Linked DNA regions of Caenorhabditis elegans. The protein of the gene in region 4 interacts with the protein of the main gene of each other region in a pairwise test. Each region holds a gene or a part of one and is shown on either strand. Other genes may lie near its edges.

Evidence for each region.
Region 1: the proteins of hlh-26 (region 4) and znf-782 interact in a two-hybrid assay, tested with the Caenorhabditis elegans proteins (one large-scale study listed by BioGRID).
Region 2: the proteins of hlh-26 (region 4) and mls-2 interact in a two-hybrid assay, tested with the Caenorhabditis elegans proteins (one large-scale study listed by BioGRID).
Region 3: the proteins of hlh-26 (region 4) and sup-35 interact in a two-hybrid assay, tested with the Caenorhabditis elegans proteins (one large-scale study listed by BioGRID).

The regions. Positions count from the first base shown.
Region 1 is NC_003282.8:1,064,507-1,069,459, forward strand, and holds the start of znf-782 (C2H2-type domain-containing protein), read right to left. Parts: upstream 3,020-4,953; 5' UTR 2,976-3,019; intron 1-2,975.
Region 2 is NC_003284.9:4,758,278-4,763,432, forward strand, and holds mls-2 (Homeobox protein mls-2), read right to left. Parts: upstream 3,364-5,155; 5' UTR 3,336-3,363; coding exon 3,148-3,335; intron 3,092-3,147; coding exon 2,856-3,091; intron 2,618-2,855; exon of another isoform or gene 2,419-2,617; intron 1,543-2,418; coding exon 1,420-1,542; intron 1,367-1,419; coding exon 1,278-1,366; intron 1,232-1,277; coding exon 1,005-1,231; intron 959-1,004; coding exon 796-958; 3' UTR 527-795; downstream 1-526. UniProt on the Caenorhabditis elegans protein: Transcription factor that binds to the promoter of target genes. Regulates fate specification and/or differentiation of multiple cell types arising from the embryonic mesodermal (M) lineage and the ABp(l/r)paa precursors.
Region 3 is NC_003281.10:11,115,234-11,120,991, reverse strand, and holds sup-35 (Regulator of microtubule dynamics protein 1), read left to right. Parts: upstream 1-1,765; 5' UTR 1,766-1,792; coding exon 1,793-1,851; intron 1,852-1,895; coding exon 1,896-2,045; intron 2,046-2,088; coding exon 2,089-2,206; intron 2,207-2,507; exon of another isoform or gene 2,508-2,631; intron 2,632-3,034; coding exon 3,035-3,103; intron 3,104-3,154; coding exon 3,155-3,757; 3' UTR 3,758-4,769; coding exon of another isoform or gene 4,770-4,841; 3' UTR 4,842-5,238; downstream 5,239-5,758. Other genes in the region: Y48A6C.4 (Pre-rRNA-processing protein Ipi1 N-terminal domain-containing protein), read right to left, coding at 406-574, 619-872, 920-1,038, 1,084-1,189.
Region 4 is NC_003280.10:5,532,290-5,535,703, forward strand, and holds hlh-26 (Helix-loop-helix protein 26), read right to left. Parts: upstream 1,454-3,414; 5' UTR 1,434-1,453; coding exon 1,285-1,433; intron 1,224-1,284; coding exon 1,017-1,223; intron 967-1,016; coding exon 690-966; 3' UTR 550-689; downstream 1-549. Other genes in the region: hlh-25 (Helix-loop-helix protein 25), read left to right, coding at 2,951-3,108, 3,165-3,395. UniProt on the Caenorhabditis elegans protein: As a homodimer binds DNA via the E-box sequence 5'-CACGTG-3'. Represses lag-2 transcription during embryogenesis via Notch signaling, in an unc-37-dependent manner. Also represses tbx-37 independent of Notch signaling.

The DNA.
Region 1 (4,953 bases), on a different chromosome or scaffold from region 4:
GCGGCCGACGCGGTAGGCAGTGCCATGATGTTCCGACGTTCGAGGTGGCAGCAGCACAACAACACACAGCGGAGAAGAAGCATGCGAACAAAAAAAACGTCTGGTTTCTCTGATGCCCTAGCCCTCACCCACCCCACCCCGACTACTGGTACCAGGCGCCTCCTCGCCGCTCTTCAAGACCACCCCGTCGACGACGCTGCGCCAAAACAAACACGGCGACTGGCACGCTTCTTCTCAACTGCGTCTTCTTCTTATCCGCGCGGAACACACACAACACACACACACGGCATATAATAATTGTTTTGGCTCCGGCGTTCGGTGGGCTCCGCGCGGAGCAAAAGGAGCAAAAGAACGCACGTAGGAATTCGTCATTTATGTTTTGGTGACTAGGGACTAGTAGTCTTGAAAGAGTAGGATATTAGTATGAGGAGAGGTGAAAGAATCCAAGGGTCCAAAAAGATTTTTAGCATTTAAGGAGTCTAAACTTTTCCGAACACCTCGTGAAATTTTGCACCTGGCAGCAATTTTTGCACCTGGAGGGGTTCAGTTACTACATGAAAACTTTGAGGTTTTAGAGGGGTATTGTAGGATTACTGTAGTATTAATGTAGGGCTACTGTAGAAATACAAAAAAATTACGGTAGGGCTACTGTAGTATTACTGTAGGGCTACTGTAGAATTACAGAAAAATTACGATAGGGGTACGATCACTGTAACAGTTGATGCACCATGTTTTGCCGATTAACTTTGACAGCTTATATCTCGATTACTTTTACTGATATCAAAAAATGTTTAAAAATAGAACTATAGAGAAAGATATAAGAAATGTTTTGTCTGTTGCCAATTTTTGAACCAAAAACAACCAAGATTTGAACCAATGAAGTTGTGCTTGGCATTTTACTTTGAATGATCATATCTTGGTTTTTTAAAGAGATATCAAAAATTGTTAAACTACATTATTATAGAAAAGGTTATAATAAACATTTTGTCACTAGACAATGTTTTGATAACACCAAACACAACTGAAATACAAGACGTCAAAAAGCTGACGAAGGATTTTCAGTCGATGCACCATGTTTTTTTAAATTTCACAAAGTTTCCTATTTCCCATTCAAAATCACTAACCTTTTATTTTCAAATACTCAAATACGTAACCTTTTACCTTATCACATACCCTGGTCACCCCAACTCGTGGTATCAGGTTACCCCCTCGTAACCCATTCCGCGTGACCGCATGCCTGCCGGCGCGGCGGCAAGCGGCCTGGCACGGAGCTATGGGTGCCTGCCGGTGACATGATGATGCCCGTCCAACCATAGATAATAATAGGTAGACACCACATACAAACATATGTGTGTGTGTGCGTTCTTTTTTTGTTGGAAAAATGAGAGAGAAACTTTGACCACATACAAACATTTATGGCTATATCTAGTTGGATTTCAAAAACCATGTGTTTGACCTACATGTAGTACGGATTAACGGGATTGGTGGAAAATGTGGATAGGACCTTTGAAAACTGGGTTGATAGTGATTTCAGATCATGGTGCATGGACTAGATTTTAGGCAGGCGCGGGGCCTGAAGCCTGCCTGAAACCTGCCTGCTTTTTCCCCTTTTATGCATTTTAGGTGTATTTACACTGATGATTTTCAAATTAAAAAAAAAAGAAAAAAAAAACACGTATGATTTAGCATAAGTATTGAGGCAGGCGGAGATCGCCTGAAGGCCAGGCAGGTAGGCGTTTTATCGCCTACATAGGAGCCCTACACTTCAAAGTTGAGTCATATGAAATCAATGTAGAAAAAATTATGAAAAACAGCTTAACTAAACGTAACCGAAATATGGCCTCGATGCACCATGTTCAGAACTTTTCTTCGACAGACTCTATCTAAGAAGTGTTAATTTAAAAAAAAAAATTCCGATAAAACCAAAACCAGCCAAAATATGTAAGGAATTATGAAGAATGAAACAATTATTAAAAAGTTCCGAGAGGAGGAGTCCCAAGATAAAACAATAGCCTCACTCTCTCTCTCCCATATAACAACAAATGAAAACAACCTCCCAAAAAAAAACCAAACACAGAAGTAGACAATTGAAAGAGTGACGGGATGGTGAGAAACCAGTTCAAATGACCAGGTCATTGTTTCAGAGAAAACTGGTCACTTTTGTCGAGTTTTTTTTTGGGCAAACTATGTTAGGCAAGCCAATATCTCGGCTTTTTATGCTATTTGTAATTTTTTCCACGGGTTAATGTAGAAAAAGAGGTGAGCAATATTTTGTCAGTTGATAATTATTTTATAAACCCAGAGACAATTTAGATATAGAGCTGGTAAAGTTAAGTTTGCAAAACTTATCGATGCACCATGTTTTTATTTTGGTTTATTTTAGCGATATTAGTTACATATCAACTACAAATGTATAGAATAATGAATAAAACATTTATTACCAATAGACAACTTACTGGATAAACAGGGCGCGATTGGTGGGATAGCGGAGCGTCGTTTGAAAGTTTGAAAAATTGCAAGTTCTCTTTTTTTTTTGTGCAAAAAAGCTGGTAATAATGCACAAAAAAGTCATGTAAAATTTCAAATTCCCACCAAAAATTATTGGATAAACAGAGCGCGCTAGGGGATAGCGGAGTGTCGTTAGAAACTAGTAAATTTCAAAACTTGAAGGCTTCTAGTGGTGAAATCGATTTTGTTTTGGTGGTCGGTGGTGCAAAGCTGATAAATTTTAAATTCATAATTTAATCTGTGATTAGAGGGAGTTGGCCCGAAATTTGGAACTTTTTCTTTAAAAAAAAACTTCAAGTTAAATTGGCTAAACATCAAGCACTAGAGGGATAACGGAGTGTCGTTTGAAATTCAATGTTGCACTTGAAAACTGATAAAAAAGGGCCCAAACCCAACCCTAGATGGGTCCAAGCCTAGACAGGTCCCAGAAATTTCTAGAGAGCTCCAGATAGGCCAAACTCACTCACGTTTTTTCGTCTTTTTCTCGAAGAGTCCTCGCGCGCGGCGGAGTGCGGAAGCGGCATGATGCGACGCGACGAGCACTGCGGAAAAATGCCTGCGTCTCTTCGTCTCGCACGCTCTATCGGCTCGTTCCGCGCGCCCCTCCTGGTGTCGACTGGCACGTCGGGGCGCCCCCCCGCTGGCCACTTAGAGACGCAGAGTGTGGGAAAAAGAATGACCAGTGGTTGAAAAAATGACATTCAAAAAAGAAGAAGAAGAAGAAGGAAGGAGCAACAAACCACCAAACAACACAAAATTGATAAGGGTATGGGAAATCGCACAATTTTTGAGAATTCTCTCAAATAGGTCTAGGAGGTCTAAAAACTGAAATTCTGAATTGAGAAATCTATATTTAGGTCAAAAAGGTCTAAGTGTTAGGATCCTGAGCTATATTTCAGCCTAACGGAGTCTAAAATGCCAAAAATCATAGACTGGGTCTTTTTTGCAACCTAATTTTGGCATGTTTATACTTTTTATAGGTAGGGAGCCAAATTACGGACTAAAAGGTGATCGGTCTAGGGACTGGAATTTTGGTCTGAACGTTTGATTTGGGCTGTAAAGGCATTGATATTGGCCAGTCTTGGCCAGGCCATAACTTTTCCCGAAAGGGTTACAAACAGGGTTCTAGAGACTCTAGTTTTGGCCCAAAAAGGAGTTATGAAGCAAAAAGGGCCACAATACCCCAAAAATAACCTAAATGGTCCAAGTGTTGAGTTACGTTTCCTACCTGTTTAGTCTGGCAAAAAAAGCCTAGAAACCCTAATTCTGATCTAGGACCAAAATTTTATCATAAAGAGTATCAAAAAAGGCATAGGGACTTGAATTTCGGTCTGAAAGTTTGATTTGGTCTATGAAAGCCCTAATCTTGCAGGTCATACTTAGGCTGGAAGGCTTACAAACAGGGCTCTAAGTACTTTATTTTTAGCCACGCTAATCCTGATCTAGGACCCTTATTTTATCTCAAAGAGTTTCAAAAAGAGGCCCTTGAATATTGGCCGATCTGGTCTCAATGGGAACTTAAGAACCATGGGTCTTTCGTCTGGCAGAATAGGCTTAATTTGGGCCTAGGACCCGGATTTTATCTCATAGGGTTTCAATAAGTAAGCCCAAGCCTAAGCTTCAGCCTAAGCTCAAGCCTGAGCTCAAACCTCAGCCTAAGCTTAGACCCCAAGTTTGGCCAAAGGATCCTTGAAGAAGGACCAATATTTATTCGAATTTTTACCAAATATAAAGTACCATACTAAAAAACTTTTTTCATATCTTTCTGTATTTGTATGTTCTCTACTTTTTTCTTCTGTCTTCTTTACAAAACCTCCCCCCCCCCCCCCCATCTATCCATGATTCACATGCTGCCACACCTCCCCCACACTATTTCACTCTTTTTTCCTGCTGCTGCTGCTGCTGCAAGCATCGAGAAATACACACACAAATACACGGTGCTGGGTCACCACCTGGAGCCACCCATGGCTCTTTTCATATGTTTTTGCCTGGAAAATGACGACGACGCGGCAGCGGCAGCGGCAGAGACGCGGAGAACAAGCAGGGAGCGGAAGGAGTACGGGACCAGCGGGGCTAAGGGGGGCCTGGGAACCGGGGAGCCAAAAGTGGTCTGGGATCGTGCAAGGAACCAGGGAACCGAGTAAGCAAGGGAAACGGGGGTGCAAAAGCATTGCTTCATTCAGTTCCAAACTTGAGAAATTCAAAAAAAAAACAAAGCCCACGGGCATAGGAATTCTAAGGTGATAAGCACCGAGGCATCAAAAACGCTAGTTCGATTTTCATACACTTGAGCATTAGAAAAATCTTGTGTAGGCCTTCTAAGTCCAAAAGCCCAAAAACCGGTCGAAAAGGTCAGGTTTTTTTCAGAATTATTGAATTTTCTGGGGATTTCTTTTTGCTCTCTTTTTGTCCCCTGCTCAGCCTAAGCCTAAGCCTAAGCCTAAG
Region 2 (5,155 bases), on a different chromosome or scaffold from region 4:
TTTTTTCGTAATTTTTGAAATTTCTAGAAATTTTTTTTGGAGTTCTTCAAAACAGTTCTTCAAAAATTTCTCGAGCGTTTTTGTACTGTTTAAGACAGAGATTTCTAATACTTTTGACTCTCCAATATTATTTCAAAGCATAACAACTTACTTTTTTCAAAGTTGCCTACTGAACACCTACACTACACTACCCTAATTCATTCTACTAATTTTAACCATTAACCTTTCAAAACACAACAAAAACTCTTTAAAAAAACAGATACTACATACAAAGGAGACAAACTATTATTTTATATCCAAGTAATACAATTCAAATTTTTGGAAATTTTGTAAGTTTTCGTTCTTCAAGCAGAATAAAAGTTTTCTGATATTTCTGCAGTTGATGGAATTTGAACATTTGTTTTGAAATTTCATCTTAAATATTAGTATATGTATGTATGTGAAAAGAGTAGCTTTGCTACCATCATAATCTGTTGGAAAATGGTCTTTTACACATCAAAAAGTTTCTATCATTTTTGTATTGTATGTATTCATAATGTAAATTTATTACTCAATAAATAATTATTTAGTGAAAGAGAAAGGATTGATGAACTGAATTATCATGTGCTCGAAGATAGTTTATAAAATACACAGAATGACACATAATAAACATATAGGGTATGAAAAATAAAATATATACGAAGGGCGATGAATCAAAAATCAAGTGTGAAGAGATAGAGTCAGTGATGAGATGAAAAATGTGTTGAGGTTGAGTTGAATTGCACAGGGGGTGAGTCTAAATTAGTAATAAGGTGTTCACATGTTCTGCGCTTGAGCCGACGCATTCAAGTTTTGCTGTGCCTGAAGTGTACCAAAACCGAAAAGAAACCGCGCGGCGGCAGTTGCAGAAGCATCCATTGGAGATGAAATCATATTTCTCATGTTCACACCAGCACTGGTCGTTGGGATCGTAAGGATTCTGAAATATAAAATTTAGAATTAATTTCATGAAACAGTAAACTCACGGAGATGTAAGAGCTGTGGTTGCTGGAATCGAAAACACATTAGCTCTATGCATCTGCAGGGAAATGTTCGTGTCATCAGTCTGAGCTTGTCTCTTGAACTTGTTTCGTCGATTTTGGAACCAAATTTTCACTTGGGTCTCCGTCAAGTGCAGCTTCTGTGCTAAATTTGATCTCTCTTGACTGCTCAAATATCTTTTGCATTCGAACATCATTTCCAATTGGGACACCTGAATGAAAGTATTATTTGAGTTCGGAATGTACAATTTCTGATACCTGACTCCTGCTGAAGACGGTTCTGGTTTTCTTCTTTCTATTTTGTGATGGATCGCTAGAGTTGGCTTCATCATCGCTTCCACGGCCAACTGAAATACAGTTTATGGACACTTTTGTGGACACATTTTTAAATTCAACTCACTATCATCGTCATCTTCTGCGTCAGACTCCAGCGGGCTGCCACCAGTGGAATCCCTGGTCTCCCCATCTTTTCCCTCCGATTTTTCATCCTTCTCTTCTCCATTGTCTGATTGAATATTAACATCTGTAAGGAAACACATTTTCAACAATTACTTAATTCCTGACAGGCATATTAACCATATTGCATTAAGATACTTCCATTGACAGGCCACAATTATAACACATCCCCCCGTGGTCCATCGGTTAATTATCTCAATGGACGGGGGATTACTAGGACACGGGTGTCGGTCAAAATGACACCTTTATAAATAGATGTCTCTATATTAAGAACTACCTTTAGTTTTCAATACTGATTCTTCGTTGACTAATTAGAATCTCTTAAAAACCGAAGTGTAGCCGCTTACGTTACGAATATTGACGACTAAAAATGTGCGCTCATGCGTATGCCTGATTTTTCATGCGAAATGGAAAAGGCTCATTAGAATAAGAGATTTCTATTGCTGTTTTGATCATTTCACATGTTATCAAAAACAAATCAGTGGCAAAACCACATGTATCAACAGAGTCAGCGTAATAAAACAGCGTGATGATGTTATTTTACAATACGCTGATTTGCTTTGCCAAATCAACTGAGCGGAAAACTTAATGGCTTAAAGTTGGACCTGTGAGGGGAAATAATTAATCAGCATTTTTGTAATGTTAAAATGGCTTAATATCAAAATAAAACTGTTTTTAAAAAAATTTTGAGCCAAAAATTAGGTAAAAGCGGACTATGAGTTTTCAATGTTCTTTGACTAAAAATAAATTTTATTTAAAACATTTTTGAAATGTTTTAGTATGACATTTGGTAATTCCCTACAGGCCACATTTCATTATTAAAAACTTTGAATCTGAAAAAAAAAGTTGTTTCTCTATAATTTTTAATTGAATGTATTTATTTTTAGAATCAAAATAAAAGTCAAGGACCTGACACGCGTCACCGAGCTCATGGGGTTTAGTATTCTCACGTTATTAACTTATTGCTGTTTGAGCACATCCTTTCAAGAATCAATGAATACCGCGTGTGGTGTTACCCAACAAAAGATAATTAGTTGAGTTCAACACAGGCGAGCGATTCTGATTCTTATCCTAAGAAAGGAACTGCATCCGCCGACAACCTCCCCCCTCCTTTTTCCATATGTTCATCCAATACCGTTGTTCAACTTGTTAATGAGTCCAGACTTGGCTAATTCGAGACCATACAATAACAATGGGTCAGAAAATGAATTAGTTACTGTATTAAGGGGTGTTCTGAGATTCGGAGAATAAAGAGAACCGACCGAAAATTATAGTGGTAAACGGAACACTGTTTTGAATGAAATGAAATATGGTAGGATTCTTTCACACATTAACTAATGACAGACTAAGGAGAGAGGAAGTTGGGTAATATCTACTGACCTGGGTTGCTCATGTTTTTGAAGTGCATTAGTTGAGCAGTCGGAAGTCCAAAGAATGGGAACATGGTAAGTGGTGAGATCATGTTTTGTTGATTGCCGACGTTCAAGAAAGTTTGCTGAAGTTGCAGGAGGGCAGAAATCGGATTCATTTTTGGATCAAAATTGAAATTAAACGCCGTTTGCTCAATTTCATTGGTGCTATCCTCTGAAGATGCCGACGGGGAACTTTGTGTAGTTCTGAAAGTTTAATTTTATACAAATAAAAGGAAAATAAATGAAAATGTTCAACTTACGGTTTTCTGTCATCTTCCAGCAACTCAGAAATATTGAATTTAATCTTATTATCTGAACTTGGCTTCATCTCTTCTTCCTCTTCTTCCTCCATCAGTTCAATCTTTGGAAGTTGTGACATTTTTTCGAGACGTTCTTGCGAGCTCATTGTCGTCATATCAATAGGGAGATTCATAACTGAAGTCGGCATGTTTGAGAAAAATAGAGTCAACTGAGGGCTAATCGAGAATACTAATGAGTAGCCCCGCCCCACCATTCAAGACTACGGTAGCTGGGCGAGCGTTCGCGGATAAATGGGGTGTAGGAAATGGGAAGGAGAGGAGTAATAATGAAATGATGACCAAGTCAAATTATTGTCTTTGGTAGTGTTAAGAAAACGGATATCAAAACTATATAAACAATGGTTGACCAATAGGAAAACGACTATGAATACAGTTGAGAGAAGTTTAGCAGAATCTGAGGATCTCGAAGAACTCCCTGCTTGCTTTTCCGCTAATGTGTTAAGTGATCAAGCAAAACAGAGATGTTTCTAGGCAATACGCCCTGTCCAACTTAATGTCTAATTCGTTTAAGTGGATTACTATGTTTGGTTAACACCATTAATCACAACAATTAACCGTTTTTTTTCCGCTGAGCGACTCTATCAATTGTTTCAAAATTGATGATCAATTGATTTTGTAATGTAGGTTCAATGTATATTCCAACGAGAATGCCAAAAAGCTAATCAGTTATGCTTTAAGCAAAACATTATTAATTTAAATATGAAATTCGAGATGTTAGTGGATCGTTGTTGCTATGCGAACGCACGGGTCAAGCAGCAGCTTATCCGCGGTTAGTGTCGAATTCGGAGTGCAAAAGGTAATAATGAGGAATGATGGAAACAGGAGAGATATCTAATATAGGCTCGATGAGCAAAACACTCAGGATCATTGTTCACTTGAAATGTGTTCGAATACCGTAACTCCTTGAATAGTACTGTACCACACTATTTGAAACGTTATATCTGTGTTCAGTATCAAAGATAAGAAACTACAAACCGCTAAAAAAAATTGACAAGTACTTTGTTCGTGTTAAGCTGGTAAAGATGGAAACTGGGTTGAAATCCTAATAGGGAAAATACGGTAAATGGTTTGATATTTTGATGTACAGGAAGTTGAAAAGAGTACTGCCAATATTGTGATGACATCTTTTAAACTACTTTTTTCCATACTTTCCAAAAAAATCATTTTTGGCTGAAAAAAGAACACTCGTATTACTGTTAATTTTCAGAATGGGGGTTTAATTTACAAATGAAAATTTTAGACGAGATTTCTGATACCTTAGAGAACCCATGCAAAACTGAGGGAAAAGAGATGAATCAAGAGTCGATGGAAGTGAATCGGAAACTATCACATGAAGTCTTATGAAGCTTGAAAAAAAGTTCGAAGCAAACAAGTAATCACGAAATGTGTTTTTTTTCCTGATTAACCCTTGAGAGTCCAATGACGAACATTTGAAAAAAAAATCAAGTTTTAGTTTTGATCAAACGCAAAATAAAACGAGTTGAGGTGAGCACAGCCGTATTGAATGAACGTCCACAGCTCCACCCACTTCCATGATATACGGTAATTGGGACCCAAGACGCTTACCCGCCCGCTCTCATGTGTTTGTGTGCGCGCTCGTTTGGTTTCAAATAGGGAGGGGGGAGAAAATAATTCAACACAATCTCATTAAAACCGGTAATAGTAAAATAAGGCGACGACGTATTTGTACAGAATAATATGGTCGAGGAAAAACATGCACACACGTAATGGCTGATAGTAGTGGCGTTCATAGAAATGAGCTGAAAATGAGCAGAAATGAAATGAAAGATGAGGATGAGAATGAGAAAATGGAATTGATATTTTCCACATTATTTCCCATTATTCTCTTAGAGGTTTTGTTATGTAAAACATCACAAAATGGATTTAATACGACGACTCACAACGTTCTCAAGCCAATGTGCAACACTGTAGAAGGTGTGAAATGTTG
Region 3 (5,758 bases), on a different chromosome or scaffold from region 4:
TCAGCCAACTTCTAAGATTTTTACTGAAAAATATCAATTTTCTGGGAAATCGCTGAGTTTTCAGCTTTTTTAACCACAAAATTTGAATTTTTCACTAGTTTTCAGTCGAAAATTTGTGTTTTAAACAGAAAGTTCAAGTTTAAAAATTTATTTTTCGGATTTTCAGTCAACTTCCAAGATTTTTACCGAAAGATACAGAATTTAATCCATTTTTTAAGTTTTTTCAGCGCAAAATTGCAATTTTGCTCTGATTCTTGCTGCAAAATCGGATTTTTTATCGATTTTTCTTCATTTTTTTCTGGTTTTTTTGTGTTTTCCAGGACCACACATAAAAATGCAGTTTAAAATCGATTTTCTCGAATTTCTAGTGAATTTTTCGCAATTTCCAGGCAAAAAACTACGAACATTGATGAAATTGAGAATTGTATCGATTAATCCCGGCTTATTCCACGCCAGACGCTTCGAACTGCCCAGATAATTGATAAAACAGGGGAAGAGATCGGCATGATTCCGGCAAAGGCTCGGATATCGATCGAGAAGCACCGAAAGTGTGCTCAGTGCGAGGTGGCGGACTCTGAAAATTCAAAATTTCCCATTTTTCAGAAAAAATCCACTCACTCTGTGACGATATTCGTTAGAGCGCGGAGCACGTGGGACAGGAAAAGTGTGATATGAGCCGACATTGCTTGAATTGAAGCTGTACACAGAATTTTGTAGAGATTCAGTAGATTCTGACGTGTGGAGGGCTCGAAAGAAGCGTCAGCCACGTGCACAGCCACGCAGGGAACCAAAAGCCTCAACTGGACGTTGACAAGATCCGGGCGAGACGTTAAAATCTGTTTTAGTCCTTGAATAGCGTTCATTTTCACTTTCTGAACGAGAATTTATTAATTTTGATCGATATTCAGCGAAAAATTACCGCATTAAAGTGCCCCATCTGCTTGCAGAGCTCATCGAGCGTTAGACCACGGAAACTAAGTGGATTATCATCTGTTTCCACTTTTTCCTCCAACTGAGTCGCCAATACTACTCGTTTTGCTGAAAAAATGAATTAAAATTCGCGAAAATCGGGTGAAAACTCACCTTTGATAGTCGTGTCGGTGGTCGTCGTTTTTTTCAGCTTTTTTCCCACCTTCAGCTTGACTTTTTTGAAATCTTCGTTTTTCCGTGCCTTCTTTTTGGTCACCATCTGCAAAAAATGTTAATTTTCGCGTGTTTCTTGAGAGAATAACAAGAAAAATGCGAAAATGGCAAAGGAAAAAAAAAGAGAGGAGAGACCACGCCTCGGTGAAGTGCAAGTTTCATAGATATTGATTCGAGAGAAAATTATTCCCATAAATAGAAACATCACGCCCAATTTTTAATATTTTCTTTTATTCAGAGTTAAAATAAATTGAAAACCAAATTGTTAAAATTTTTCCCACTATGCTCAAATCAGATCCTTACAATAATTTATAATTATCCTGCGTTCCCGTTTCTGCACACTCATTTATCTCATAATACAGCAACGTCTCCAAAGCAAAAGCGCTCTACTGCGCATAGGAAAAAGGCGCGAATCGAGTGATTTGAATAATTTCGCGGTGTTTTACCGCATTTTATCTTCTTTTTTCTCATTTTTAAACGACGTTTTACTCTTATAAATATTTTTCACGTATTATAGTTTCATATATCTTTCACACATTCGTCCTCCTAAAAAATTTAGTGATTCTGAAGGCTCGTAATTTATATGGCATGAATGTTCTGAAATATTCCTAATTTTTTGAACTTTCAGATTTTTATTTTTGAACATAAAATGGCTCACACTTTTGCGTGCCCACGTGGAGATTGTGGACTTTTTTCGCTTTCCAAACTGTAAGTCAAACATTGTATTGCATAATCACCGGTTTTTGTTTCAGGGACGATCATCTCACTGCGGATCATCATCTGGAACACATGTGTTCAGAGTGCGAAGAGAGCTTTGGCTCTGCAGAAGAGGCCAAAGAGCATACTCTTTTAGCTCACGAAAATGCTCAAACATTCGATGATCCAAAAATTAGAAATACTAGGTATTGTTGTTATCTCAGAGCTAAAATAAATATAATATTTCAGAATTGTAGATTCCATAATTGCAGCAGTGAGAGTATCCGGTGATGTGATTGAAGAATTCAATTCAGTGATCATGCGAGCGGTTATTCGTCATTGGGGAAACACGAGCACGGAAAAGCTGGTAAGGAGCAGATGATAATTTTATTTTATCTGAGAATGCGTTTTGCGCAAAATATCTTGTATCGAAAACTACAGTAACTTTTTCAAAGACTACTGTATCACTAGCGGCGACTTACGGAAATCATTCGATAAAAATTAAAAGAAATCACAAAAATGACAACAACTTGAATTTCGCTGTCACAATTTGATCAGAAAATTACAAATAGCAAGCCAATACATCGACGCCAGTTCTACAGTAGGCAGTTCAGGTTTTTTATACAGTTAAGTATTATATTAAAAGTAAAATATTAAAACTGTCACCTTAAATTTGAATCCAGCCAAGCCCGCGAAAAACTCCGCTCGATTTCGGATGCCGAAAATTGGCTCGAATCGAGAGATATTCGGGAGATGCTGGAATCAAATAAGACCTACTTTCTTTTAGATTTCCGCCGATCACCACAAAAATGAAAAGAGTGGGTAATATATCGCGGCCGACAACCCACGGGTTCCGCGCCTCGCTATAAATTAAGTAAATTAAGCCACGCCCTTCAAAAGCACACCAACTGATAGGGTGTGGCTTAATTGACTTAATTTAGAGCGAGGCGCGGAACCCGTGGGTTGTCGGCCGCCATGTATTACCCACTCTTTTCATTTTTGTGGTGATCGGCGGAAATCTAAAAGAAAGTAGGTCTTATTTGATTCCAGCATCTCCCGAATATCTCTCGATTCGAGCCAATTTTTGGCATCCGAAATCGAGAGGGAATTTTTCACGGGCTTGGCTAAATTCAAATTTGATGTGACAGTTTTAAAATTTTGATACTCTTTTTAACGAAAAATTATTCGATTTCAGATTGCTGTCGTTGATTCTCCAATGATTACTCGTGACTTCTATATCGACTGTTTTGAAGCTTTAAAGATGGTAGACTATTCATTTGTATTTAAACAATGAAATAAAATTCGAAATTTGCAGAGATACGATTCTGGAGAGAAGTCCATCGATCTTCTCTGTCGTTTGGCAAAATTGTGTACAAAAATTGGAAATTTTGTTGAGAAGGAAAAGAGAAAGGACATCATAATCAAAGGAAAGATGTACGCTACCGAAGCCTGGAACACCGATTCGTACAACATCTTGGCTGCTCATTGGGCCGCTGTGATGTCAGGAAAGGCAATCGAATATCTTGAAGGCGATGAAAAGAATCTGGAGATGAGACACTGCAGACAATATCTCGATCGTGCCATCTCTATCCAGGCAGGAAAAAATGCAATGTACAATAATATTCTTGGCCGTTGGGCTCTTTCAGCACTGGAGATTTGGGAGTCTGACCGACAACAGTTAATTCATCATTATGCCACCCCATATGACGCTATCGACGATGCCATTTATCAGTTCAGATCCGCTTTCGATCTCATACCGTATTGGATCGATAATATTGTACACCTGGGCAAAGCGCTTCTTTACAATGAAAACAAAGAAGCCGCCATTGGAATGTTTCAGCTCGCACTCAAAATGGACCCGTCGAACGATATCGAGAAAGAGTTGCTCGCCGACGCCCTTGACTTGTGCTCAATTTGATCCTTCTTTTATTTCCATTTTATTTTCTGTGTCTCATTTTTCCGTTTGCACTTTCCTCCGTTTTTTTATTGTAAAAATTCCGTAAAAATCGGCCCAAAATTCCCATTTTCAGGGGATTCTTGGAGCCCAACTTCTTTTTTTAAAAATTTGGATTTTTAAATTTTTCCCCGATTTTCTATAGGAAATTCCAAAACATTTACTGAAAAATAGAAAAAAAAATGGCCAGATTTCTCGAAAAAATTAAAATTTTTGGAATTTTTCTGATTTTTAGCTAATTTTTTGAAAAAACTGGCTCAAAAATTTTTTTTTGGTATTTTTTAAAGAATTTTTATTTTTAGAAAATCCGTGAAAATTGAGGGAAATTGAGCCAGAAATTTGGTATTTTGGAGCCCAAAATCTGTTAATTTTTATTTTTAAATTTCCACGAATTTTAAGCTAATTTTCTGAAGAAGTTGGCTCAAAATTTCGGTTTTTTGGAATTTATTTTTTTCCTGAATTCCTAGAATTTATAGTGTAGTTGATCCGGAAATTCTATTTTTCTCAAATAATTGAAAATTTTTACTTTCAGAAAATCCCTGAAAATTGAGTGAAATTGAGCTCAAAATTCATATTCTTCTCAAAAAATTGATTTTTCTGTTGAAACTTCCTTGAGAAAATTTCTAGAAGAAGCTGGCTCAAAATTTCGAATTTTTGGAAAGTTTTTGGAATTTTCATAATCAAGTTTTTTTCGAAAAAATTGAAATTCCGCCGAGTTTAAGCTAATTTTTAGAATTTTTCTCAGTTAACGGTTCTTTTCTAGTGAAAAATTCCAAAATTTAGAAATTTAAAAATCCCTTTTCCCCTTATAAATTGCCCCAAACATTTCCGCTTCAACCAATTTTTCAACATTTTTATTCTATATTTAACGGCTATACAAAAAAATCGATAATTTCTCAGGTTTTCACCTCTATTTCCTATCTTGTTCACACGCCTCGGTCCCAAAATTTAATAGATTTTCAGGCCAAAAAAACCAATGGGGTTTTTACAAATTCTTCAAGAATGTCGAGCCGAAGGACTATGGCCAATTGGGCCATCTTGTAATAAGGTGCTGTGAAAAATTTGGAAAAAAATTATTATACATTCGTCGAAAAATTTCATCTCAGTTTAAAGGCGCACACATTTTTTGTACTTTGGGTCTCACCACGATTTCGACTTTTTGAAGCTTAAAATCACTAAAAATTACGTGGATCGTGGCAGGACAAAAAAGTGTTATTATACATTCGCCAAAAAATGCCAGCTGATGAAAGGTGCATGTTTTTTGCAAAAATTGCAAAAAATTACCAATCGAAAAAAAAAACTCATATTTTTCCGATGGGTCTCGCCACGATCTGCGTCTTTTGGATCCTAAAAGAACCCAAAATTATGTGAATCGTGGCGGGACCCAGAAGTGTATGCGCCTTTAAAATAGGAGAGTATATTTTTGAGAATGTGTAATAATTTATTTTTTTGCTTTGAAGAAACTTTTTATCATTTTATGATAATAATAATTTTATTATACATACGTCGAAAAAATGTCATGGCAATTACCTTTAGGTCTCGCCACGATCTACGTCTTTTGGATCCTAGAAGCGTCCAAAATCACGCAATTCGTGACGAGACCCAACAGTGTATGCGTCTTTAAAATAAGCTTGCATAATTGTGGGAATGTATAATAATTTATTATTGTATTTTTTCAATTATTTATTACAAAAAAATGTATCAAAAAATTTTATACAAATCAACAAAAAAAACAAAAACAATTTTTTTCGTGTACTCCACACGGACAACAAACTGTAGTTTTACAACTAAAACGCGCCGTAAATCTACACAAAATCTCTCCGACCCAAAATGGCCTAATTCGGCAAACTCTGCCATTTCGATTCATGAGGGAAGCCAGAATTCCGTGTTTTAACCGAAAATTCCAGAGTCTATCAAAAAATTCCAATTTCACCTTTCTACCGTAGTCCAGCGCGGGAATTCAAA
Region 4 (3,414 bases):
TCTTATTAAATGGTTTTTATATTTTCAATTCAAAGAAATTGAACACGTGTTCCAAGTGTTTATTTTTAATAGTTGTGCTGACATTTTTTGAATTTTCTTTCACAGTTTCTTTATTTTTCAGGGTTCGTAAACCAAGTTGCCGGTTGCCGAACTTTTTTCGGCACTTTGGCAACTGTCCATATCAACGTCAAACATTTTGTAACTCAAAAAAAAACATGCAGAGAGCCTGAAAAAGCTAGAATTTCACTGTAAACGAAAAAAACGACCATACATTTTTCCAAAACGCTCAAAAATTTAATTTCGACAAAAAAAACTTTGAAACCTGGTTGCCGAAAAGTTTCCGAAGTTCCGGCAACCGGAAGTTGCTGGCTGCCGAAGTTTTCAGCGTTCGGCAACTTTGGCAATTGCCGGTTGCCGAAATTTCTTTAAATCTCGGTTGCCGCACAGTCCTGGTAAGAACGCAATTCAGTTCTATAATTTTTCTCCAATTGCTACGCATCTGTTCAAATTATCATGCACACTGTGCTGAAAATCTCAATATTGCTGTGTGTTAAACTTGAATTTATTATCTTGATGTTACTTTTTTAAATTTATTAATTTTCAATGAATCGGGATGCAAAAGATGTCTAAATAATGTTGAAAACTGTTGAAAAAAATTGGAGACCAATACGATTTTCAGCTGAATCTCTTCAGCCAACAATATCGATATCTTTCTCATTTTCTTCTATTTCCAGAGCGTCAATTTCGAAGCTGGAACTTGGGACAATAGGAATCTGAACTGTAGGCATGTGAGGAGGATAAAGTGAAAATTGATTGTATGAATTGAAAACTAATGGCGAATAAACTGGGAATACTGGGAGAAAAGGAAGTATTGGAAATGGTAGGCAAGGTACTGTACATGTGATCGACTTTCCACGAATCACTTCAAAGATGATTTCTAGAACCTTCAAATTCTCCATTTTGTCTCTGAAAAATACGTGTTTTTTAATTTATGGCCAATAAAATCTAAAACCTACATTTCTTCTGAGCTACTCAAATTATTCAATGCAATAAATTTTCTGAGCTCTCTGTACGCGGCAACTCTCTTATTTCGGCGAACTTGTTCCCGATCGCTTTTAATCTTTTTAATACTTCTAATTGGTCCAGGCGATGTTGAAAACGATTCGTGATGAAGTTGAATACCAGATAACAATTTCACAATACGAAATAGAACCTCTTCTTTTCTGAATAGACATTAGTTGAGAGTACGTTTTTTTTTTTTAAATAAAATAGTAGAAAACTTACGAAAGTTTTTCAGATTCCGATTTTTGAACGATTTTCTTGAATTCATTCAACAGATCATTAGTATCATCTCTTCTTTGTTTTTCTGTTTCAGATCGATGTCCATGTGAAGAAGGGGACCCAGATGATGACGAAGTTGGAGAGGAAGACATTATGAGTCAAGGATCTGAAATATAATAATAATAGTTAACAAAAGATTATTAGACAAAAACCGTAATAGGGAGACTACAAAATATGAAAGGCAGTTCAAATTAAAGACTTATGAAAACGTTGAAAAGAACCAACCTTACAGTTCAAGTATGCAAAAACATAATGACTACCTTCCATTATATGTTCGAGTTTTTTCTTCAATAGGCGGGGATTCTCATCGTTTGGAATATCATGGGAATCTGATATCCATACCTTTATTACGCGTGGTTCTCATGGTGCATCGAGTACCACATCTCCAGTTCTTGCCGTGGCAGCCTGAGAACCCAAGCAATGCGAAGGGTCACAACCTGAACGAAGTTATTGATTGGTGGGAAAAAATAATCCTGAAATGAATATTTGGTAAAATCGGAGCTCGATGGAATTTAAAAATGTAAATATATAATACAAAAGAAGAATTTAGAATATTTAAAATAAAAATGCATATTAATTAACTCAAATAATCAAATACATGAATTAGGTTATAGTATTTTTCCTTTACATGATAGTTTAAAATATTTATATCAAGCTGTTCTAGAAATGTTTTAAAAAACAATATCCAAGTTTAAAAAAATCTCAATTTATTTTTAATTTACGAGGTTTCCATCTCAGCGTGTGACACTTTTCTTATAACTTGGCACCTACATGTATCCGGTGTGAATTTTTTCTGTTGCTGTGTGAGCATTTCCAGCAAACCGGAGTTCTCAAAATCAGTAAGGTTATATGTTAAAATTAAACTGGCTTATTATTTTCAGAAAATGAAAAACTGCCATATTTGAGTGATAAACTGAATGAATCCGTAAAATTTGGTAGTTGTATGTTCTATGCATTATCATATACATCAATCTGGTAATTTTTATTAGAATCAGATCTTGAATATTGGAAACTTTGCGAATTAAAGACAAATAATGATTAGGCAAGCTGATTAAATGAGTGATAAAAATGGTTAATGTCAATTCACAGTCTCCGCCGAAATTTCCCAGGCTGTACCCAATCAATATCCAGTCGTGGCAAAACTGGAGATGTCCTGACTCGTTCTCATGAGAACCTCACTGATGAACCATGGGAACCCGTGATGGGGACTGTAAAAATAGAGATTTCAGAATAATTCCCATGGCTCCAAACGCTTGATACAAAGCTCCACCCTCTGAACAATAATGGAACTATAAAAGGTAACCATTTATTCATTGTTCATTTACTTTCTTAGTGGATCACTGGTCTGCTGGTTTAGTATACTTTTTGATAATTGTAACATCAGGAAAGTGTACTGATTTTGATCAATTACTTTTAAAGCATTCAGTGAACTGTATACTTCTAGAAAAACAGTACGAGTTATCTCACTAAACTAAATCAATTTGTGCTGCTTTCTTGGTCCCATTTATCTGTTTTGTCACAATTATTCCTTTTTAACGGCTCATCTTGAATTTTTATAAATTCTACATTTCTTATTGATTTTAAATTAATGAAAATTATTAAATTTCAGATGCCAAAAGTTATTCAGTCTTCAATGAGCGATTATCGTTCCGTCCCATACAATCAAACTCCAAAATCAGCTTCTGAACGGAAAAGAAGAAATATTACAAACGAGTTGATTAACGAATGCAAGACGATTGTTCAAAAATCAGAAGAAGAACATATATCGTAAGTTTAAATACTCTGTTAGCTTAAAATAGTTATTAAACTAATTCATTTTTTAGACAAGAAGTAGTTCTCTTCCGAATTGTGAAACTTGTGACTGGAGTTAATCTGGAATCTAATTTCTCATCGAATGACCTCTCCGAATCTACAAGACGGAAGTTTGATACTGAATCCGAAAGAAGAAAAGTGAAGACTGAACGTGAAAAGATTCGAAGAAAGAAACAAGATGACTGTTATGCTGAATTGAAATTCTTCATTTTGAACAAACAAATGGGAAGTTACGAGCAACGGTAAGAGTTTCATTATGGC